2 linked regions of the Astyanax mexicanus genome follow. The protein of the gene in region 2 interacts with the protein of the main gene of each other region in a pairwise test. Links are inferred from orthologs where the notes say so. Each region holds a gene or a part of one and is shown on either strand. Other genes may lie near its edges. The genes, in order: stxbp4 and klhl42.

Region 1 (12,861 bases), on a different chromosome or scaffold from region 2:
TGCTATCTGGGTATGCCCAAACTTGATTATACTCTTTATCTAGCTCACTTGGTTTAATGAAGTTGATTATGCCATGCCTTGACCTTAACCATTAACAACAAAATATTATGGTCAAAATCTAAGATGGTAACCCATATTAACCAGCTGTATAACCTTGAACTGGCTATGCTGTTTTTACTTGATTATAGACTAACAGTTAATATTTATAAAAAATCAAATCTTAATTTTGTTTATTCTTAATGGCCACCTCATTGTGCAGGGTAAATACATTAAGAATTTCAAATGTGTTTTTCCAGTTCAGCTCTTTTTTATAGCCTTGCAAAGCGTTGTTTAGCAGTTTGAGTGCCATCGAGATTGCCTGATCACTCGTTATGTAAGTGCAGATATCTCTACCTCCACTACAGTTGTGTAACATCCAAATCATGCAGATTTGTGTCCCTAAAGTCAAACACGATAAAAATCAGATCACATTATAACCCAAACAAGCCTCTGAGCTCTAATACACAATAATATGTTTAAGAGACCGACATGGACATTGTTTTTGCTCGCAATTGTTTCTGAGCTGCCTAGAGAATTTCATATTATTGCAACAATCCCACCCCCTACTGTCTTAAAACAGGTACTGTTTCACTTACATGCACTCTAGTACCCCGAAATAATCATTTCTTGCAGTGTACAGCACAGCTTTTAAAGCTGATGTTTAATCCAAATGTTGATTAAAGTAGAATTTTACATGAACATGTTATTACTTGAGCACGTTATTACACAGACAGCATGTAGACATTAATAAAAAGGCTTTAACAAATTATATCCTTTCTATCAATGACACTCTATTAGATTTCTTGAAGTTTTAATAAAAATTTAAAGTCTCTGAATAAAGCATCATGTACTGCTTATTTAGCTGTATCCAGGAAGCGGTAATTTCTGTCCATCTTTGGCTTCGAAAAAAGTATAGGAAAGTGTGATTGAGTCCACCCAGGCCATTCTAGGGTCCTCATCAAACTCTGGGTCGATGTAAAAGAACACAGGCATGTCCACCTCTTCGTAAGGGTTTAACCTCTGTTCCTCAAAGCAGAAGCACTGTGGAGGAAGATGAAAAACCCAGTTAATTTCAGTGGACAGAAAAAATGACATCTGACCAAATCCGGACTGAGCCTAGGTTAGAACGAGAGTTCAAGTACACTATCCATTCTGATACATTATCCATTACCTGAATTTTGTTGAAGTACTGCCCAGCATCAAACGGCACAATACTGTAGGTAGATATTCCTATAACCGGTTTGTCTGTGGGATTTCGTGCTTTGTAAAATGCTAAAGCAGTTTCTCCTGGCACAACCTGAAAAACACAATGCACATCATTGACTTAGTTAGTCAAAGTTACAGTACAGAGTGCATTAAAATTAAGTATTATAATTGTTAAGTAGAGGGACTATATAATACAATTTGAAAGTCAACGTTATATTCATACCGTTCCAGTCAGAAGCAATATTTGTATTGTTGTTTTGTTTGTGTTCTTCCATTGGTATTTTACACATTATGTATAGTAGAATAGAAATGGCCCAAACGTACTATTTTTACCAACATGCCTAATGTATATATTTTTTTTGTAGTTACCTTTCTGGAAAAACAAAATTTTGTTCTGACAGAAACAATATGCTAAAATGAATGAAGTATTAATTTAAGGTTTTTATTATCTCACATAGATCTCTGACTGCTGAGGGCGAAAGTTCCACTGGAGGCTGGCATGTGTGTCAGCATTGAAGGTGACTTTTATAACGCGGTCCTTAACCGGCTTCATGGTCTCCACTAATTCTCCATCATGTCCTGCGATTGCTGTGCCACCCAGTCCAGTTGCCTGAGGTAAAGAATCATCATCATCATCATTCATGTGCAGAGTTTTAAGACACAGTGAGACTACGTTTGGGTTATTTATCCTTGGCTAAGGCGAGAAATAGTCAGAACCATAAATGAGACACCCAGTACTAACCTGGCAGTATAGTCTGTAGAGTGGCACTGAAGCATATGTCAAGCCAATCATTCCAACCCCGGCTGCTGCGATATATGTGAGGGCAGTCTTATTCCTCTGTTTCCAATCATCTTCTTGGTTTTGTGTTTTTTTTCTGTTGGTTTTAGCTCCTCTTGTCTGGTTAACAAAACGCTGAGATGTTCTCCTGCCAAAGAGCTGGCTGCTGGAGGTGGCTAGTCCTCGAACATTCAGGTTTTTAGCTAGCTGTACACAGTGTTTTGCACAGCATTTACGGATGGCAAAAGAAAGAAGCATAACTCCCAATCTCTAGAGGAAATATTCTTTAAGACAGTTCCTTTACCAACCTGTACAAACAAACAAAACAAATAGCATTTTAACATTAACATTTTTACAGTGGTATTTTTTATTAAAAGGAAACAGACTATAAATACACTGAAGACCAAGTTTCTAATCGGGATTTAAGACTTGTCCTGGACTACACATTGTTTTGAATAAATGTTGCTTATAACCATAATAAACCCATAATCAATCATTAAATGTCCAAAAATCTGCACATACATGCAAATAAATACATATGTGCTAAACGTGGATAAAAAGAAAACAAAGCCAAACAAATAAGACAACATTCACATTCAAGTATACTACAAATAGACTTTAGGTATATATGCAGAAATATAGAACATATAGAATTATGAAGAGCTCACTGCCTTTCCTGCACCACTGTAGTTATAAATATCAAACTGCATTCAGTCACAGGAACAGTGTGGTCAGGAGGCAATATTAAATGATTAGTTCTGCATCATGCATGCCACTCTAACTCATCCCAGAGGTACTGGATAGATCTGCATCACTCCTGAGAATGCAGTTCCACTGCTTCATAGCCCAGTGTTATGTGGCTTTATACCCCTCTAGTCAGCACTTGACATTGGTCATGGTGCACTTACATTCAAGTGCACTCCCACTGAACCACCACAAGGGGATTATGCAAGCTGTAAAGTAGCTGAGAACTTCTAATTAGAAGGGGTGTATCAACACCTTTAGACTTTTTATGTCCTACCTGGTAAACAAACCAACTAGAGAAAGACTCACATGAAACAGTCTGTAAATGCCTATGTAGTACTGTCATCAAGTTCAGCATAGTGTAATCAACTACTGTACCTTGCTTACAGCAAAGAGTTACATTTATAAAGCATTTTTTAAAGAATACACAAAAATCCTGATTTTATTGCTAAAGTAGAATATATTCTACAAAAAGTGTTTATAGTTAAGTTGCCCAAAAATACTACATTTCCAAAAAAGTAGGGATGTGCCTATCGGGGAATTCTGGGCCGATGTTGATATGTAACATTTTACATGTATATATCTGCCGATGCTGATACACATATTTAGAACTTACAGAAAATCTAGACACCCCGGTATACCCTTTGAAACAAGCTTTCCACTAACTGTATACAAACAATAAAATAAATGGTTTCTTTTATTGTTGTTTTATTTGATTAATTTATTTAGCTTACTGCTTTGCTTAGACTGGCCAGAGCTTTAAGTTCCTGTTCTTAAGTTTAACAAATTAATTATATATTTTAAAACTATTAAAACTTTATCAATATGAACTTGTTTTCACTTTCTGCAAATAAATGCTCTAAATGACTATATTTGTATTTGGAATTTGGGAGAAATGTTGTCTGTAGTTAATAGAATAAAACAACAATGTTCATTTTACTCAAACATATACCTATAAATGGAAAAATCTGATTCAGAAACTAAAGTGGTCTCAATTTTTTCAGAGCTGTATATATAGAAAAATATAGCTTTATAGAAAAACATCTGCACCTTACTGTTACTGTAACTGGCTGACTGTCTAGGTACTGTTCTTCTACTGTCAATACTGTTTAACACCTTATAATGCAGTTAGATACACTTATTGGGAATAAAATACATCAAAAAGTAATATATATATATATAATATCTGACTGGTATAACGACACTAACGACGCAGCCAGTAAATAAACCATATTACTTCGTTTAGGTTAACCTGCAATATAACCTAGTACTGTATCCACCTGTTTTAGCTAGGGTTAGACCAGAGCCGGTTAGCTAGCGGTAGGTCAGTTATCTAACGCTGCCGACTTCAGCGTATTCCTCCTCGCCTTCAGAGTTTTACACAGAGCTGAATAATGTCACCGAGACCTGATTAACCTGCAGAAATAAAGCGACAGTACCAGAACAGCCCATAATCTCTCTTACCGAGACAAATGACCGCTCGGGTTTTCCACACAGCCCTGCTAAAGCTACAGACACACTGTTCCTACAGCCGCACTGCTCCCCGGAACACACAGCAGCGCTACTGTAGTTCCTACACACCGCTCAGCCCGCTGCTGCCGCAGACCAGCAGCCGCGGAAATATTACAAAAAACTAAATATTTGTACAAATGTGGATGTATGTATACTTTATTTATATTTAGGTTTATACATACATATATCTTTTTATATTTAATTCTGTGTTTCATTATGACAATTCAAAAATAATGAAAAAACAAAATCCACAATTTCATAATAAATCACAGAATAAAATTTAAAAATATGTAATTTTATTTAGTTTTTAATTTCTGCCTTCTGCCTGATCATAAAACAAATTTAAATTAGAATATCAATATTTTTTATTTTTTTCATTTGAATTTTTGCAGTTTCATCATAACAATTAAATATGAAAATATTTTTTTGGTTTTGCATTTTGATTTCTGCAGTTTCATCATAAAACACAGAATTAAGTATAAAAATATGTATTTAGATTTCTTTTCATTTTTATTTCTTCAGTTTCATCATAAAGCACAGAATAAATATAAAAAAATATATTCTCTATTTTTGCATTTGAATTTCTTTAAACTTCAAAATTGAATTATTAAAATATGTAAAAATACAGAAAAAAATAAAAATACAGAAAAAAACAATTAAATATGAAAACATCAAAAGGAATATATGCATTTATATAAATTAACAAAATTCATTACCCTTTAACAAGAAAAAAATATATATTTGTGTGCATGAATTACCAAGAATTGTCACTGCAAACGAGCATCCAATCATGTTTACTGTGCTAAGTAAAACAATTACACAGTGTCTATAGCTGCCTATCTGTTTAGATAGCTGTAGCAATAAGGCTAAGCCAAACAAATTAAGTATTATTTTCTAATTTAATAAAGTAAATAATAAATGGCTTTAAATATATGGCTTTAAGTCAAGTCAAGTCAAGAGGCTTTTATTGTCATTACATCTGAGTACAGGTACACAGTGTGATGAAATTACGTTCCTCCGGAACCATGGTGCAACATAGAACCACAAGCAATAGACAACATAAAGTGCAGGAGTGACGACAGTGCAACATAAAATTATAAAATTATAACACTAAATAACAATAAATACAATAAATACAAAAGACGAGACAATTTAAAGACAGGACAGTGCAGTACCGATACGGTATAATAAAGTGTATAGTGGGGATAAGGTGCAGAGATGTGTGACATACTGTAACATATAGAACATATATAATCACAGCAGTTACTGAGGTAGAGTTTATAGTTTTTAAGAGTGCAGCAAATAAAGTCATGTCAGCCTCTGTGTGCTGACTGGGTGTGTGTGTGGGTGAAGTTCAGTTCTTTGTGAGTGTAAAGGGGGGGGGGGTGTACAGTTTAGTTTTGTGTAAAGGGGGGGGGGGTGTACAGTTTAGTTTTGTGCGAGTGTGTTGGGTGAGTGGTGGGTGGGGTGGGGGTTCAGTTCTGTCTCTGTGCGTTGAGAAGTCTGACTGCCTGGTGGATGAAGCTGTTGCAGAGTCTAGTAGTGGAGGCTCGGATGCTCCTGTATCTTCTGCCGGACGGCATCAGAGCGAAGAGTCCGTGTGAGGGATGGGTGGGGTCGTCCACAATGCTGGTGGCTTTGCGGATGCAGCGTGTGGTGTAGATCTCAGTGATGGAGGGAAGAGAGACTCCGATGATTTTCTCAGCTGTCCGCACTATCCGCTGTAGGGTCTTGCGGTCTGAGGTGTTGCAATTCCCAAACCAGACGGTAATGCAGGTGCTCAGGATGCTTTCTACAGTGCCTCTGTAGAACATGGTGAGGATGGGGGGTGGGAGATGTGCTTTCCTCAGTCTCCGCAGGAAGTAGAGGCGCTGCTGGGCTTTCTTGGTTATGGAGCTGGTGTTGAGGGACCAGGTGAGGTTCTCTGCAATGTGAACACCGAGGAACTTGGTGTTATCCACAATTTCCACAGCAGAGCCGTTGATGTTCAGCGGGTGGTGGACACCTGGAGCTCTCCTGAAGTCAACAACCATCTCCTTGGTTTTATCCACGTTAAGAGATAGGTTGTTGGTTCTGCACCAGTCCGTCAGCCACTGCACCTCCTCTCTGTATGCTGACTCGTCGTTCTTGCTGATGAGGCCAACTACAGTTGTGTCATCAGCGAACTTGATGATGTGGTTTGAGCTGTACTTTGCAGTACAGTCATGAGTCAGCAGAGTGAACAGCAGTGGGCTGAGCACACAGCCCTGGGGGGCGCCGGTGCTCAGTATGGTGGTGCTGGAGGTGTTGTTTCCAATCCTGACTGATTGTGGTCTCTCAGTCAGGAAGTCTAAAACCCAGTTGCAGAGGGAGGAGTTCAGGCCCAGCAAGCTCAGTTTTCCTATCAGATGCTGAGGGATGATGGTGTTGAATGCTGAACTGAAGTCGATGAACAGCATTCGAACATAGCAGTCTTTGTTGTCCAGGTGGGTGAGAGCCAGGTGGAGCGCAGTAGAGATGGCATCGTCTGTTGATCTGTTTGGACGATACGCAAACTGCAGAGGGTCCAGTGAGGACGGGAGCTGGTTTTTGATGTGCCTCATGACCAGCTTCTCAAAGCACTTCATGATGATGGGAGTAAGTGCAATGGGACGGTAGTCATTAAGGCAGGACACTTGAGACTTCTTCGGCACAGGGACGATGGTGGTCGTCTTGAAGCACGTCGGCACGATTGCAGTACTCAGAGAGATGTTGAAAATGTCCGTGAGAACATCCGTGAGTTGTTCTGCACATCCTCTGAGCACTCTGCCAGGTATGCTGTCTGGTCCTGGCGCTTTCCGTGGGTTGACTCTGAGTAGAGTTTTCCGCACATCAGCTGAGGACAGGCACAGTACCTGGTCGTTTGGAGGAGGTGTAGTCTTCCTTGCTGTCGTGTAGTTCTATGCTTCGAACCTTGCGTAGAAGGAGTTCAGTGCATCTGGAAGGGAGGCATCACTGTTACAAGCAGGGGAGGGTGACTTGTAGTTGGTGATGGTCTGGATGCCCTGCCACATGCGCCGAGTGTCAGTAGTGTCCTGGAAGTGGGCGTGGATTTTCTTTGCGTAGGTGCGCTTTGCCTCTCTGATCCCCCGGGAGAGCTTGGCTCTAGCTGTTCGGAGGCCAGCCCTGTCCCCTGACTTAAAGGCCTTGTCTCGGGATCTCAGCAGCGCACGCACCTCTGCAGTCATCCACGGCTTCTGGTTGGGGCGGGATGTGATGGTTTTGGAGACAGTAACATCCTCAATGCACTTGCTGATGTAACCAGTCACTGAGTCTGTGTACTCCTCCAGGTTGATGGAGTCATCAGAAGTAAAGGTAAAACATAGTACGCAATTCAGTACAGCAAGGATTAACTACACAAGCTTATAAATTGTTTATGCTAAGTGAACATTAGTGAACAGTATCTACCATGCAGTAACAATGCATTTAATATATTTTCACAAGCTAAAGTAAATATAATCATCAGTACTTAATCTAATTCAGTATGTATGTTGTTCTGTGTTTTATATTTGTGCATTCATTTTCTATTGTATTTATTCTGTGTTGTTTTAAGTGCATTATTATTTATTTGCATTTATTCTGCTTGGATTCTCTCTCTCTTTCTCTCTCTCACTCTCTGTCAACCCCCCAATTTTTATCTTTCTCTCTCTCTCTCTCTCTCTCTCTCTCTCTCTCTGTGTCTCTCTCTCTCTCTCTCTCTCTCTCTCTCTCTCTCTCTCTCACACACACACACACACACACACACACACACACATGTCAGGGTAGTATGATTTGACACTTTCTTGCTTATTGTGTTCCTGGCACAGTGCCACCATGTGGACGGTACCTGCAATGCATTATCACTTGTATTTTGGGTTATTACACACTGTACAGTACATTTTGTATTTGAAGCCTGTTGTCAGATTTCAGGATATTTTAATGGTAAGTCATTTGTTTATTTATCGTCTGTATTTGTTAGATGTAAATTATAAAATGTCCCACTCAGTCTATTTTATTTACTGTACCCAGTGCCTAGGAATTATTTATGTATTGTAATTTACTCATTTACATACCTCTCTGAAGACATGCCCTGCTGGTGTCTAAGTGTTTAATGTCTGGTCCTTTGTTTTGCTAGTAGAGGAAGACACATCATCAGCGGTGGCACTGGAGGGAGAGGTGAAGCGCACCATGTGACTGGTGGGTATCAGGGGAGATTAGTGGATAGGTAGGCGCATGTCTGTATCTGTCTGGGTAGATTGCTGTCTCTCGGTCATCTTAGACCGTCCTGATTTGAACCGTCATCTCCCCCGACCCAGTGATGAGGTTGCCTTTATAATATTTCATCAGCTGTTTTTGGACCTGCGATGCCACTGCTGCCACAGTCAGCGGAGGCAGAGCGCTTTGACGGACTATCCCTGCTTTACTGGTAGGCTGTCTTTCTTTTTTTTTTTTGATGTATGAAACCTGCAGATTTAACAAAGCTGTGAATGTTTGGAAATCTGCATTTTGTATGTGATGTGTTTTATCTGTGTTCAGTCATTTGTAAATGAAATATCTGTAATTGTCTGTAAATACAAGAGAGTGAATGTGACAGGGAGTTTGAGGTGAGCTGTGTTTATGCGGATGAAGGGATTTGCAGCATGGTTGTGCAGTTTAAGCATGGATTTATGGATCCACTTTCGTTGGATATGAGGATCTTTTAAATTTCCTACGCTCATGCAAAGCAGCAGAGATTCACACAGGCACAGTCTTCAACTGTCTGACTTTATATGATCGAGGATACACATTTAGAAGAGCATGAGATAGAAGGGGGGGCTTCTTGGGAACAAAACAGGTTATCTGTGTGAAGCACTAAAACACAAGTAACAGGTCTTAATGAAGTTCATATACAGGCTTTAATTGGTTAGAGCACTCAGCATGGCTCCGGTACACTTCTCAGCGTGTATCCTTATGTGGCTTGTGGAAAGATTAGACTGAATTAAGTGATCAGTTTAAATGCCTCAGCTGTTCTTTAGCCAGTGTTGCTTTAAAGCCAGTGATCAACAACCTGAGAAGATGCTTCTTTTTACAGTTTAATCTGTGACTTGTAATGGAGATTTCTTAGTAGATGGCTGATGATGGAAGGGGCTGACCACTTCCGTTCCATTCCAACTGTTGCTCTTTTCATCTTTCCTCATTCCTTAGCCATGTAGCTCCACACACAAAGATTATAGTGGAGGGTTTACAGCTTGTTTGGGGAGGGGGATGGTACCCTACTAAGTAGGATCATCTGATCCGAGTCACACTTTTTACCTACGAGCAGGATTCGTACTTTTGCTTGTCTAAGCTGGCCTTTACCTTCATTTCCACCTGACCGCTACATGAACTCACGTGACTGGTGTTCATCAGTTTGTACACTCCATTCAAGTACAAACTGAGTCTGTGACAGTGCTCTGCAGTTCATGCGTGTTTATAAATACAATCGATGAAACATTTGCATGTTTGAAATTTGCTTTATGTTTAAATACATGTTTTGTTTTTTTCGCATGCCTTTCAAAGCTCTTTCAGTACCACAGTCAACGGCCTAGATAAGCATGGAGCTTTTGAATCGTGTTTCTTTCTGTCTGTTATGGGGATTATATTCAACAGAGATCAGGCTGTAGTTTACCAGATTGAAGGCACGCTTTTCCAATAGCAGCAGTGTTTACCTTTGCATAGCAGCGTGTATGAAATAAACCTAAGTGCAGTAACCTACTTACTTTGGTTAATCACTTTCAATAGTGTATTTATTTTTAGAGTCATTCTGGATTACTATTACTATATTTCTCTGTTCATTCATCTGCATTCAGAAGACAAGACCATCCTTTAGAATTTAGCCCTTCCCATTAACCAGATATCAATCATTGTTTCTTTATGGGAGAAATCAATTTTTATTTTTTTAGCACACAAAAATAAATGTTTTATATTTCTTCTTCGTTCATAAAGGAACTTATATAAAATAACTTACAATAGTAAAGAAAATAAGTGACTTCTCCCAAAAAAGGGAGAAATGGTTGACATATGGTTGTTTGTTGAAAGGGCTCAAATGTAAAAAGGTAAGCTATTTTTCTGTTGTAATCACATTCAGACAACTGATTTTGTCTGTTTTTCAGGACCATCATGGGACCCCACGGCATCAACCGTGCTGTACAGAGACTGGAGTTTTCAGACTGCAGAAAAGGACTTGGTAAAGTTCAGTGCATGGATATATTCATATATATATATATATATATATATATATATATATATATATATATATATATATATATATATATATGAAGAGAGAGAGAGAGAGAGAGAGAAAGAAGCTTATGAGAGAGAGAGCGAGAGAGAGAGAGAGAGAGAGAGAAGCTTATGTATAAAAAACAAATTGAACAGGGAATTAAAACTAGATTCTAAAATGATGAACGATATGTGATAAGTGAATCAAGGATTCGTGAGCAATGAAGGTATTTTTGTTTTTGACAATTGCACACAGATTTTATCGTCTCCAAAGAAAAGCATTACCAACAGAAGTCCTAATAGGCCTGTCTGTTCACTCAGCAGTCGTCTTTGCAATGCTGGCAGGCAATTATCTCTAGTCATGTAAGACCAAAATATTCGAAACTGCTGATTAAAAGCATATTTTAAATCATTGCTATGATCTGACCAAAACCTCATCAATAGAATGTAGTGTTTGGCTCAAAAATGTAGAAAAAACATAATATTTTTTGCCTGTTTTGGCTACTGCACTTGCACTGATCTCCAAATTGGGGGGAGCTTTGTCCTCTAGCACCTTGACCCACCCCTGATCTGGGCAGAACCAACAAGCTACTTGCCTCTTTTTGTTGAAGGGCTTTATTTGCACAATTTATCTGTAAACAGGCACCATAAAGAGTGTTACAAGAACTCCTACTCATATTTCAAACAGTGGCTGATTAGTAATGTCTCTGATTTTCTGTACAACCTGTTAAATTAAAACTATTAGTGTAAAATTAGTGCAAAATATTTGTCAAATTTACTGTGTAGTGATGGAGCACCACAAATCCATGTGGTACTAGTGAGTTACTATCCTGCAGGTATACCCTGCATCTGAAATGTAAGAAATTCTGCCCACTCAGCCAAGATTCTGACAACACAGGAAGGCAACACAGCTAAACATAGTCTATACTTTAGCAATATCAGGACACATTTTTTGTCATTTTGATTGAGATACTTTCATCACTACAATACACTAAAGACTTTCATCACTACACTTCCTTCAAAAGGAGATAGGTAAGGCATCAAGTCTGCAATTCTTGCATTTTAGACACAGCCCTGATCTTGGTAATGAATACCTTGAGAGGTTTTAAAGATCTAGAAGTTCACCAGAACCAGGAATGGGCACACATATTGTGATTTAATGCAATCTAATCCTTATAAGTAGTGTTTTAACATCTAGTGTAGCATTTCCAAAAAAGTACAGGGTGTTACTCCAGCAAATTGGGTACCACTTTAAAATAAGACTACCTTTATAAAGGGTTTATAAATGATTTACAATTAGTTTATTAATGGTTACTAATTAGGTTGTAAATGCCTTAAAAATCAATCAGTTATAACACATACGTAAAAAGGGCAACAGTATAGATGGCTGTGGGTTCACTATTTGGCAAACAACAGGTAATTGTTGCCCTTTCTACATATGTGTTATAACTAATTGTAAACCATTTACAAACCCTTTATAAAGGTAGTCTTATTTTAAGGTGGTACAGCAAATTGAAGCAAACTTCTATTTTAGTTTGGATTTGGGGGACGTGTATTTTGTATATATCTTATCACTTCCTTATAGAAAATATCAGTTATTCTTACTTTTTTTGACAGCTTTACATGTACAACCCCAAAATCAGAAAAGGTTGGGTCAGTTTGGAAAATGCAGGTATGGAGAAAAGGCAGTGTTTCACATTGCTTTAATTATATTTGATTGTAAGATTGATTGATATTTCATGTTTGCAACTTTATTTAATTTATTAATATAAATCCATTTCTGCATTTATGACCTGATACACATCCAACAAATAAAATGAAGTTTACTTGAAGAAATAAAAAAGAAAAAACTTTTTATATTTTGGTTTGTACATTACATTTACCTTTTTTTAACTGTAAAAAATGAAAATGTGATTTTTTTTTATTTAAGGTAAAAATGGTTAATATATGACAGATATAAATTTGTTGGAAGGACTTAATTAGAAAAAGTCGATGTCATTTTGCATTAGCACTGCTAAAAGTTGCTTTGTTAAGGAATAATGGTAATAAATGGTTTAAACAACTAGCTATTGAAGTTATTTTATAAACAGTGGATTTTCATTGATGTTGCCTTCAATAATCCTTTTTCAGCACTCTTTTCTGCTGCATATTTTCTATGTATCAGTACTCAGGTGATATATTTCTTGTGCGTTCCCCATTGTTCCAGTGATTATCCTTGCTTTCTTCTGCCAGGGGTGAAGATCATTGGAGGTTACAGAGAGCTGAGTGGTGAAGAGTTTGGCATTTTCATTAAGCGAGTCTTACCTGGGGGCGTGGCTGCACAGGACGGTATGCTGGCACTTGCT
Region 2 (12,511 bases):
TACAGTGCTGTGAACAGTATTTGTCCCAAAACAGATTTGTATTGTTTTTGCTTTTTTACCATACTTTTTACAGATTAACATTTTTCAGATTAACAAACACATTTTAATATCAGACAAAGATCACCTACATAAACATAAAAAGCTGTTTTATATGACAATTTAATTTACTAAAGAAAAAAAAAATCCTTATCAACCTGGCCCTGTGTGAAACTATTTAGATGATATAATAATTGTGATAAACAATATTTGTCATTTATGCCTCTAATATAATTAAGTTATTTAATTTAGAATTTAAGAGTTGTTTGTTTGTGGAAATTGAACAGCCAGTTCAAGGTTTTAGCAGAAATGCTGTTAAAAAATAAACTATTAGCCACAAGTCTTCACCTGCAGCTATTCTGTGTGTATGAAGACACTATTATTGATGTATTGGTCATTGCACACATTCCAGACCTTTCCTACACAATAGATCTCGGCTTAGAGATTTGAGCCCGGCCTCCTTCAGAGACTTTAAAGAGATCGTATCAATATATTGTACAATATATCAATAATCTAATTACTGTGACAGGTCTTAACACAAAATAATGACTTGTTTTCTATTGCTTTTTTCTTATGTTGCAGGGAAAGAGCAGTGGTATGAAACACACACTGCACTGGTGCGAGTGACAAACACAGGAGACAAGCAACTGTCAAAGTGCAACATAGAGAGTCTGGCCTTGAGCATCCCTGAGCTGAACCATCGAGCGATGGGCTACAGAAATGTCCCCATCCTTCTGTATACAATCCTAATATGGGTGGAGAACATCCCTTTGGACCTCAGCCTACCTCATCGAACCAGAGCACAGTTATCCTCCAATTTATACAGTCAACCCAGGCCCCAGACAGACTGCCAGGCATCAACATCAAGAGCTTCACCACTGCCCCCTCTGCTGGCTCCATCCGAGAGTGACTGCTGTGTCACTGCAGATCACCCAAGTAGTGACAGCTTCTTTACAGCTGGCCTGAACCACAAGGAGTGGACCACAGTAACCTATAGGGACTATGATTTCATCAGGTCCATCTGCCCAGTCTACTCTACAGATGATGAAGTGGACGTTATATGGTGCTGCTCTATCTCTGATTACACTGCTTATGGACAGCTGGTCTTTTCTGTAGACATGGACTTTCTGTGTGAGGCCAAGCAGGTAGATAGTAACCTCAGTTGTGATGGCACACCAGAGGGAATGAACAAAGACCAGAAGATGGCTAATTGCAGGCCAGTTAGCTGTAAAACAAGCTAATCTTTAAAATATATTAAATAATCTTAATATCTGTTAGTTCATAGATTTGATCAAATTTACTTTTTTTTGCCTTCTCATTGTTTGGTGTCTGATGTATGATGTTTTAAAAGATTTTATGTGATGTAGCCTTTTTTTAGTTTTCTGTCGGAAATATGAGTGCAAGCTACGTTTGTGAATCCTTAGTGAACTGTTCTTTTTTAAGTAAACAGCTTTTAATTGAAATAGAATCATGGGTGTGCAGGCTGAGTGGTTTAGCTAATATTAACAATAAGGTAGACCAGTTCAGGTCAACCTATCAAAAAAAAAACATGCATGTAGTCTTAAATAAATATAAATTACACATAAATACATATGCAACATGAAAATTCATTTAAATGCAATCTTGAATCAGATGAAGGCTGGGCCTCAGCATTTCTATCACCAACAATAATCTGTCAGAAAAATGACAGATTCAAATGAAAATGAATCAGACTGTAAATACTGATTTAAAAAGGTTGTGTTCCAAAAAATATTTTAGAAGGCGTTAACAGAGAGACTCATGTTCATTTAAATACATGTTCACTGAAAAAAGTCAAATAAAAAGGCACTATATCTGCATCCCCTGAATATTTTATTGAACATAAAATAAATTCTTTTTCAAGGCATCTGTGGCAATATTTAACACTGTCACCCTTTAGGCTGGAAAAAACTAAAAAAAAAAAAAAACAAGATATTAAGAAACCTTGAAATAATTATAAAACAAAAGTATATATATAGAACTGCATTCAGGAGGGCCACCTATTCTGTATATTTGCCCCTTTTTTGTTGGTTCTTCCACTTTTAGGCCCTCATAACATCATCCATTCAAAACAAGATCACAGCTGTTTTGGTCAAGCTCTTTGTACTTTTTTTTCTCAAAAGGCCTGAAAATTCAAGGCCTATAATAAGGTAAGGTTTTTATAAAGCTTAAGCAGTAGTTATTAAGACTATTTATGCTTCCTTATCACACTCTTAGTGTTCCATCATAATTATGGCCATGTAAAACCAAAGCCTTTTGCTGCCAATCGACTTGTGCGTCAGTAGTACATTTGTAATGTCTGTATTCGGAATACAGATTGTAAGTACATGCATTGCCATTAGTAGTTTTTGTGCAAGTTGAACAAATGTATTGCACAGTGCATTTGCTCCCATAGAAAGTGTTTTAAGTATATTTACACACAGCATAAGCCCTATACTTAATGCAAGTGTACCTCAGCAACATGCTCCTAACATGATGCTCACTGAGGTATGGTGGATAGTTCCTTAGTTATTAGTGTAAACAACAGTCATTGACCTCAATTTTTGGGAAACCTTCAATCAGTCTTTGAGCCCCATTCATCTTAGCAACCTTGGCCGCTGCTTTAGAAGACCAGCTTTCGTGTCGTGCTTTCCGGCTCACAGGACGTTGGGTAGGTAGAGGGAGCACAGCAGCATGTTCTGACCCAGTACAGGGAAGCGCCGGAAGGCCTCCCAGGCATCAGAGAATATGTTGTACTTGAGGAAGACACGGTGCTCCAGGCTGGTGGGCAGGCTCACGTCACGGCTCATTATGTAGATCCCGTCGTTGTGGAGTGTGCAGGTGAGGTTCAGGCCCGACTTGGATGTGTTTTCTTTCAGCTGCAGCCACTCCCCCGTCTGCACGTTGTAGGACTGCACTGTCAGCATATCCTCCGTCTGGCTGGGCCGCCGCTGACCCCTGGCTGTGCACTCCAGCTCGTGTGTGTAGCCACCCACCAGGTAGATAGTGTCCTCCAATGAGAGCATCTGCTGCTTGCGTACGTGTGCTGAGCAGGTACGGAACACTGACCACGTGTCTGAGGTGGGGCAGTAGCGCAGAACGTTGGTGTTCCTGTCTGCAAGAATAAAGAAAGGATATTTTTTTTTAATTCAAACTTGAATTGAAATATATTTGTATTTTTAAGTTTCATATAATAACTACATGATTTCATAATAATATTTTTATACTATTAATAATAATATTATTTATACTGGCAAAAATGTATATGAATTGTATTATAAATCATTTGTCTATTAACACAAGGTATGAATCCTATTTACTTTACTGCAGACAGTATGAGCCCAATATATTTCACATCTGTTCAATTTAATTTCATTACTAATATATACATCTATTCCTGCATTTTAGGCCTGCATCACATTCCAGGCATATTAGGACTTGTGGTAAATGAAACAAATAAATGAATTCAGATTATCATGATTTGAAACAAAAGCGGCATCATGTTTCTCAATAAAATATAGGAGAACAAGAACCAGCAGTCAATAATACATAATAGAAGGGCAAGGAATAACCATCATTACAACAATAATTACAACAGAGAGTTGCATTCATAAACAGCATTTTACTGTGCAAAACAGAACATTTATGGTAACCATATCCAGAGGTAGAGTCAAATTCTTTGGAATCAACTGAATCTTGTATGAACTATCACACAGCGAAAACATACTAAATGATTGTGCACACATTAACTTGAGTCAATGCATGCGTTTTAACATGATGTTGGCCCACCCTTTACAGCTTTAGTACCCTAATCTTTGTTGGGAAAGCTTGTTTTCCTGTTTTTAAATATGTGACACGCAGTATTCAACATTGCTGATGACTAACATTGCTGATGACTAAGTGACTAATCCAAGCAACTCAGCACAAAACATCAACAGGACTGCACCATTCCAGAAAAGTTCTTTCCCAAAGTTCTTCTCAAACCACTATACTTTGATTTGCAGTGACTCATTGATATCGCAAAGCAAGCTCCTGTTTATGTGAGCAGCCTCTTTCTAGAAAGACCGTGTACGCACCTCTGGCTGTGTAGCCTCCCATGACGTAGATCATTCCTTGGCATTCGCAGGCAGAGAACTCAGCCAGAGGGTCAGGCATGGAGGAAACACAGTTCCACCAATCCTGCTCAGGACTGTAGCACTCCACTGTACCTAAACAATGTCCGCCCACTGCATACAGCTTCCCACTCACAGCCACCAGCTTAAAGTTTGCCCTAAATACAAACATAACACTGGTCAAGAAGAAGAGCCCTTTTTGAACAGAGAAATTTCAATAATTAACAAAATTGCATGATTAAGATGGTTTGGAATGGTTTGTTTGTTCAAGAGCACGGGTGTCCAATCTTATACACAAAGTGATGGTGCAGCAGCAGGTTTTTTAATCCAGCGAAATAGAATCACATTTTATTAGTATTTAAAAACTGATTAATTGATAAAAATTGGAATCCTGGTTTATGCTACCCAGTGATGGTCCACACTGGCATCTGTTAGGTGATCAGAGTATCTGCACTTTCCTGCAGTGGTTGGCTACACATGTGTCTGATGAGGTGAGTGCTTGTCCTCATTCTCCTAGTGTTGGGGGAATTACTAGTGACAAGGGGAGTCCTAATGAGTGAATGTGTTGTTTAATTTGCCTTCTAAATTGGGGAGAAAAATAATAATATATAATATAATACTATAATAATAATAGAATGAAAACCTGCAGTCGAACCTACCCCTTGCAGATAGAATTGGAGACCCCTGTTCTACAGAATCGCAGAAGCTTATCCACAAAAACTGATTACTCGAAATGGTCATGAATACACTGACCCTGTCTAAAACAGATTTCACCACTGGAAAGAAATATGATTTCTCTACAGTAAACCATGTCACTGTATAGACTTTTTATCCAGTACTTTCTCCTTTGTGCCTGACAGAACGATGCAGATACCTTTTTTGGTTCAGGGGTGCTATATGCTGCCATTCGTTTTTGCAGGGATTGTAGCAGTGGGCGGCAGAGATCTCCTGACTCGTCATTCTGTAGCCGCCGACGATGAACAGGTAGTTGTCCAGCACCGCGGACCCGTAGCCTCGGACGTTGACCATGTCTGGGGGCAGGTTGTTAGCGAGCGGCTTCCAGCGCTGCTCCACCTCCCCGTACCTCAGCATGGACCACGGCTCGTCCTGGTCGGCGAGGTCCAGGCAGGTGCCCATGAAGTCTCCTATGGCCACCAGCGTGGCAGTGCCCCTCATGCGCATTTGCCTGACCTGCTCCCTCAGCGAGGCGGGCAGGAGCTGGAACTCGGGTCTGCGCAGCATGGGGTGAAAGTGGCAGCACATGAACTTCAGGCAGGCTGTCCGCAGGTCGTGGGTCCCGTAGACCTCGGAGAGCTTGAAGAGTTCCACACAGTTCTCCAGACGGATCTCGGACAGGAGCAGCTTCAGGATGGGCGTCACCTGGAGGAAGGAGGCTGTCTCGATCAGGTCCTCCAGGGTCTCGTTGGCGACCTGCACTTTGGAGGTGTTGATGAACTCCAGGACCAGCTCCAGGCCGGGCCCGCTCAGGCCCTGCAGCTGCACCGAGTCCTCCCCGGACTCCCTCATCCCGGAGCTGTACAGCGCGCGGAAGTAGTCGCTCTTCTCGATCAGCTTGCTCTTACTCACGTTGTACGTCCTGTCGTCCATCACGATCTCGATGATCTGCTCTGCAGCGGACATGGTCACGGTGTTTGTGGCATGTGACGAAGGCAAAGGGCACTTGTTGGTGGGCGAGATCAGGTTTACATCTCCAGCAGCTTTTCCTGGTGCTCCTGCTTCTACTGCTGAGTCCCGTCTCTTCTGAAGCCGAGCTATATAACTATATATGGAAATGTTTGGGCCCGGAGCTTAAGGGCTGACTCTGCTTCCAGACTCGACTCGTGTTCGCTAGCTGCTGACTAAGTTGTGGACTAAGAGGGAGAAATAATAAGACGGGCGAGTGTGAAATCCTGTGGTTGTGCTCCATATCGGCTCGGGCAGAGCTGAACACAGAGCGCTGAACACAGAGCTAACGCTCGTTACCGTTAGCATTATTATTATCTTCTCCTTTAATCAGCTCCAGACAGAGAGCAGCCCTGCACCAGAGACCTGCTCCCCTCCACTGCCTGTGAGCGCCCCTCCTGTGAACACATGTCGAGAGATAATGTTAATATTACACAGTGAAAACTATACAGCTAGCTAACCCAGCGTGTTTACCTCCTCATACCTTTTAGCCAGTCCATTTAAACCAGTTCCTGTTTTGGTCTCGGGATGTTCCTACGTCACACTCAGTCTGTGTCTCAAACCCATAAACAACACTGCTCACTCGTTGCTTTGCTGCCTACGCTGCCTCACTGTGTTTTTAGAAGGCAATGTAGTGATTAAAGGGTCTCTGTATCTGATTCAAAAGGGAAATGTGTATTGGCGTTACCTCGGTATGGAGAGTTCAGCACTAGCAGTGAGTGCTTATTTGTGTTTTCTTCATTGGTTATTAGCTAGTGGCGGTTCTAGACCATTTTTAACAGTGGTTATGTTAGAGGAGCAGCTTATAGTGCTCTGCATGCATTATGAAAAAAAAAGTCTGCATTCAATATCATTCAACATTTCATACATTTATACAGTTTTTAGTTACAAATTCACAATTTCTATAATCTTATATTTCTCACTTTACAATGTTATTGTCTAAGTAGTAGTAGGTAGCATGTACTTGGTTTTGGACACAGCCAGCTGCTCTCCTGCCGTTTTTGCGCATTTCTTTTTTTAGTCGATATTTGAAACCTGATATCCAACTTACACACTAGCACGATTTCTAGAACGTTTAATTTGATTAATTTTGTATAAAATAAAAATGCTTTAACATGTACAACAAAATATCAAGCTGCTCATTTTAACAAGTATAAGCACATTGTGCGTTTAAAGCGCGCATGATTGATACGGAAGAAACACTAAATGTTAATGTTGGTTCAGCAGGATAACTCTCTCGGGTGGAACCTTTTAGGGGTTGAACAGTTTTCTGTGTTAATTTCTGCAGTAAATATCTCCGCTCTCTCGGCTGATTTATACGGTTATTAATGTGTATCGAGGCCTTGTGTTTAGGTATTATTATAGGTTACTGTATTTAGCCGAAGCGCGTCTCTGCTGTAACTCTGAGCCGCGAGCCGGTCAGGATGTTTCCCCGGTGTGGAGTAGGGCTGTATTTTGTGAGCGGACCCTGAAAGCGTTTCAAAATCAGAAGAGAAACAGCTTCACTTCAGCAGCTCGAGGGAAACTGGTAACTTAGTTTATCAGGAGAAGGGAGGTGATCAGAGCTCCAGCGCCGCGCTGTGTGTGTGTCGGGATGGGGGAGAAGCCTCTGAGAGTGTGAGAGAGAGTTCACTGTGTTCACTACTGTATTTACACTAGTCCGAGTCAGTCCACAGCTGAGAACACGCGCTGCTGTTTCTGTTCTTATGAACGTTTATTGTTGATTTCACAGCGCAATTCACTTTAATATGTTCTTTATTTAAAGTATTTTTTAATTGTGCACCTTAGCTTTAGTTCGAGTTAATTGATTTTTATTACAGGGTTTTAAAGAATAGCGTTAGCTAGCTAGCGTTTACGTTACATACCATTTCAAAATAAAAGTCAGCCTAGTTTAAAATGGTAATTATATGTCGTTTTTTCTTCTTTTTTTATAATTTCGTTTTTGATAAATGTAGTCAGTATAAAATCCAGTGCTGAGATATGAAAATAATAAAAATGCAAATAATAGAAATTAAGTTATAATATACTTTTTTTTTACAAGATTAATCCACTATAGTTTGTACTCAAGTCTAGCTTTCATTAAAGAAAAAAAATCTAATAAAGACGTTACTTTTTTGTGATATATTACACCCTTGTTTGATGTTCATAAAGTTGTCTCGAATTATAGTAATTTTATAGGTGTTTTTCTTTTTCTTAAATAATATATTTTGCTCTTCTCTAATTTTGGTTTGTGTTTCTTTAGGCTTGCCTGTGGAGACGTCGAAGGCAAAATCACTGCTTTGTTTAACCGAGTAAACACAATCCAAAAAAAGAGCGGGCAGTTTGATGTAAGTCTGTTTTGGACAGTGTCTGGTTAAATAAGGAAGTTGATGCACCTATTACAGTCTCTCTTTTATTTTAATTTGTATTTCTTTAACAGTTATTATTATGCGTTGGTGAATTCTTTGGTACCTCTCCAGAGGCTGAAACAGAATGGGAGGCGTACAAGTCTGGAGCTAAAAAAGGTATTTTACTCATTGTCTGTTGAACCTGAATTTACATAACTGAAATCAGCCTTCAGTTCTTTTATTAAAAATGGAGAAATGTTTTGCTTCAGCTCCCATCCACACATACGTTCTGGGGGCTGCAAGTCAGGAGACTGTGAAGTATTTCTCCAGCTCTGATGGTTGTGAATTGGCTGAAAATATCATCTACTTGGGTAAGAGGCTTGTCTTATTTTTATTTACGTTTGTTTCTTATTTGTTTTATATATATATATATATATATATATGTATATATGTATGTATATGTAGAGAGAGAGAGAGAGAGAGAAAGAAAGAAAGAAAGTCGTGCAGACTGTTTGTTGACTCCTGTACATCATGTTTTGAATTTTAGGGCGCAGAGGAATTTTCACAGGAGCTTCAGGTCTTCAGATTGCATATGTGAGTGGCAGAGAGGCTCAACATGAGCCTGCACCTGCTCACTGCTTTACTGCAAAGGATCTCATAGCTCTGGTCACTCCCCTGGTGTCCAACTCGAAGTTTAAAGGAGTTGACATTCTCCTGACCTCTCAGTGGCCTAGAGGAGTGTGGCAGTTTGGCAACAATCCTGTAAGTACTTTGTAGTAGAAAAAGTTGATAAAGTTATTAGTGGGCAATGTTTATAGACCTGTCTAAATTTTATACTTATTGTTGTTCTTTTAGGAAATTGACACAAAGTTCTGTGGAGTTTCCTCCATTGCAAATCTTGCAGAAAAGCTGAAACCTCGCTACCACTTTGCTGCACTGGAAGGTGTTCACTATGAACGACTGCCATACAGGTTAGCTACACTTTCAACCTTTTCTGAAAATTTTAATGTGTGACAAAATGACTGTTTTAAATGTCAAAACTAGAACTTGTATCATGATATTTAACATTATTAAGATTACAACTTTATGTAATCTTGTCATTTTTGTTTGTATGTTCTATTTGTACTTTTTTGTTAAACAGAAACCATTTGGTTCTTCAAGAAAATGCACAGCATGTCAGTCGATTCATTGCACTGGCGACAGTTAACAATTCTGCTAAGAAAAAGGTAGAACATTTTCCCTTTGCCCACATACTGTGAATGAAGATTGAGTTACGGGATGATATGACTGAAATTTTTTTTGTTTTGTGGCTGTTTCTCTTAGTACTTGTATGCTTTTAACATTGTCCCGATGAAAAATATGGATGCTGCAGAATTAGTCAAACAGCCTCAGGATGTGACAGAGACCCCTTACAGGAAATCTCTAAAAGAAGGCAAGATGGAAAAGCCTCCTCCATCTGTACTCGATGAGGTTTGTATATGTTACTGTTGGATATTTTTTAAATTTCAAGCTAGCACAGTTTTGAATTAACTTTTAGGTGGCAGTCATTTTTTAATTATATCCTGAAGAATTTCCTGCCAAAGACATGATGAATACACCTAGGTATGGAGTAACTGACAGTCTCTGTAAGCCTTAAATATAACAATTTTTAATTTGTCTGTTATAATAATAACAATAACAATAATAATATTAAGTATGGTGGTACTGTAAGGCTTGTTGGTAACATTTTACTGTCATTATTTTAATTTTGTTTATAATTATTTACTGTTCTTTTCTGGAGTATGTCTCGTTGAATGTATAATGTTTGCATTTAATATAAAAAGCCAATAGAAATATTTGAATAAAACTAAATTACCATCACTTAAAATCTAAAATAAAATAAAAATAAATAGAATGAACTCTTAAAACATTACAGAGTTGTTTCCCAGACAGGGATTAAGCCTAGTATTGGACTACACTGAGTTTTAAATAAAGATTTCCTATTGAAAGGGAATGCCATTGGGCATTTTTTGCTTTTTTGCTTTTGTTCATGTACATTTGTTCTGCATCTTGTTTTAAAGTATCACTGCCTGTGTGGATTAAAGACTGTGGGTAAACTTCTCTGTTGTGCAGGAGGAGCCTGCTTCTCAGTTCTTCTTTGATCTGGGCCAGAAGAAGCAGCAGCACCACCGGCACCAGCACAACCAGGGTGGAGGCCGGAAGCGGCATTCAGAGGACGACAGATCTGGTCAACCTAGGCAGCACCGCAAACCCCGTGAGTTGAACACACCTATCGTAAACTAATTATTAATTATGCTGAATTTGCATTTCAATAAATATGTGTGAATATTTTTGTCATTGGCATACATTTGCTATTGTTTGCATGATTTTTGCTATTGTTTGCATAATTGTCCCGTAAAGGATTGACTGTTAAAAACAAATCGGTGCAACCTGATTTACCTTCTTTTCTTTATTTCACATAACTGACATTATTTCACATGTTGGTTAATAATAATAGTCTCCTCTAACACTCAGCTCAGCCTACTGGACCCTGTTGGTTCTGTTTAGCCAGCCCTGAGGTGGAGAAGCACTTGGTCATCAGTATTGGGACACATGTAAGTTATCCCCCAGTAATCCTCACAGACATTGACTCCAGCTCCAGTTTTAATAACAGGATGATTAAACAAGAGTGTCTTGATTCCACAGTGTTACATGGCAATGGCTAAGGGCTTCCTCACCCCTGACCATGTGCTGCTGTTGCCCATCGGACACTACCAGTCTGTGGTGGATATGCCATCAGATGCTGTAGATGAACTGGAGAAATACAAGAGTGCTGTCAGGAAATTCCATAAGAGCCGTGGTCAGCGCTGCGTTCTGTTCGAGAGGAACTACCGCAGCCAACATCTTCAGTTACAGGTGCTTCCCTCCTTGTACTGGGGTCCTATATAGTCCTATATTGTCTCTGTGTTTGGCTCTATTGAGGAATACTGGGTGAATGTAGCTAGGGTTGCAGCGGTAAATGGTTTCACAGTATACCATGGTATAAAAATGCACGGTTATTATATCATGGATGTTTGATTGACCAGTGTTTTTGAGAACAGAAAATGTTCATGCATAACACCTTTCCACCTTAGCCATCACTTAATCTCAGCAACTGGTAGAAAAAAGAAGAGAAATGAAACTGATTTGATCTTCATCCCTATGAACAAAACAAGAAAAACAAAATTAGCAGCAAGTGGTCATAATTTGGTCATCCCCAAAATGAATATGGGTTTCCTCATCATTGATAACAACAGTAAGCAAGTAATCCAGTGCAGAAAACAGTTAGCATGTAACATACTCCCAGCCTGCTGAAGCTGAAATCATTGTGCCTTTAACCAGTTGAGACTAGCTGTTAGCATTGCGGATAACTTGCTACTATATGTTAAATAGCATATGTTCCAAATAACCTACAGTCAAGATAAACATATCTTTGTGATCAGAAAGTGTTACCCTGTCTAAAAAGCCATTGGCCTGTAAACAGCTATCAGCTAAGATCCAGCTCAGCTAATTTTTTAGTTGGGCTGCAACTAATGATTATTTTAGTAGATCACTATCTGATGATTATTTGTTCGATTAGTCAGTGATTGATTTTTTTTCTGCCGTGTCTTCCAGATTTAAAAGGCATTTAAATGTCTAAATGTTGTTTAAATGTGGAAAGTACTGATGTTTAGTGATTAAATATGTAATCTGTTGTGTTTGGGCACTTTTGGAGACACAAACTGAGTTCAGTGTAAACTGTGTGAGTGAGGCATTTACCTATCTCCCATTGTGCTTCCGTCCCCAGCGCTTTGCGCAATGCAGGACTGTTACAAGTTAACGTTTAGTCGACAATGAAATTTGTAGTCGACCAATGTAATAATCAACAGTGTTGAATATAACGACTAATTGTTGCAGCCCTACTGTTCAGTTATTGGTTTAGGTTAACAATGAAATGCTTGCGGATTGTGATATTGTGATGTTTTCTGAGACAGTAATCATACAGTGAAAATCACATCTCATACCGTTGCAACCCTAGGAGTAGCCTGCATTTGTGGTTGCTGCCCAAACGGGCGGCCTCTTGAGACCCAGGGTCAGTCCAGCAGCACCACATAAATTATGATTTTGGGCCTGGCAGAACTTATCTGCAGTATGAGGGAGATTTTAAAAGGCTCTATTCTTCCCCATGTGAAGGCTCACATACATTCAATCATCAGTTTAAGTCTGAGCAGACAAGCAGTCTGTCCTGATGAGCAATCCAGTCTGAGGGACTCCAAGCTCCCAATGATGACCATCATCATCATCATCATCAGATTTAACATAGTATTATGAGTAGAAATAATGATTAGCCTGAACAGG

Evidence for each region.
Region 1: the proteins of klhl42 (region 2) and stxbp4 interact in a two-hybrid assay, tested with the Homo sapiens proteins (2 studies listed by BioGRID and IntAct). The two-hybrid records come from large-scale screens. The link is inferred for Astyanax mexicanus from reciprocal best matches to the Homo sapiens genes KLHL42 and STXBP4.

Annotation. Positions count from the first base shown.
Region 1 is NC_064422.1:33,823,769-33,836,629, forward strand, and holds the start of stxbp4 (syntaxin-binding protein 4), read left to right. Parts: upstream 1-8,045; 5' UTR 8,046-8,473; intron 8,474-8,623; 5' UTR 8,624-8,640; coding exon 8,641-8,702; intron 8,703-10,407; coding exon 10,408-10,481; intron 10,482-12,748; coding exon 12,749-12,844; intron 12,845-12,861. Other genes in the region: cytochrome c oxidase assembly protein COX11, mitochondrial, read right to left, coding at 898-1,080, 1,211-1,336, 1,700-1,855, 1,988-2,281. UniProt on the Homo sapiens protein: Plays a role in the translocation of transport vesicles from the cytoplasm to the plasma membrane. Inhibits the translocation of SLC2A4 from intracellular vesicles to the plasma membrane by STX4A binding and preventing the interaction between STX4A and VAMP2.
Region 2 is NC_064409.1:37,368,070-37,380,580, reverse strand, and holds klhl42 (kelch-like protein 42), read right to left. Parts: upstream 6,121-12,511; 5' UTR 5,787-6,120; coding exon 5,020-5,786; intron 4,304-5,019; coding exon 4,110-4,303; intron 3,149-4,109; coding exon 2,691-3,148; 3' UTR 1,869-2,690; downstream 1-1,868. Other genes in the region: uncharacterized protein LOC111193017, read left to right, coding at 619-1,277; cwf19l1 (CWF19-like protein 1), read left to right, coding at 7,423-7,445, 8,071-8,155, 8,248-8,332, 8,425-8,526, 8,703-8,917, 9,011-9,126, 9,297-9,381, 9,479-9,625 and 3 more. UniProt on the Homo sapiens protein: Substrate-specific adapter of a BCR (BTB-CUL3-RBX1) E3 ubiquitin-protein ligase complex required for mitotic progression and cytokinesis. The BCR(KLHL42) E3 ubiquitin ligase complex mediates the ubiquitination and subsequent degradation of KATNA1.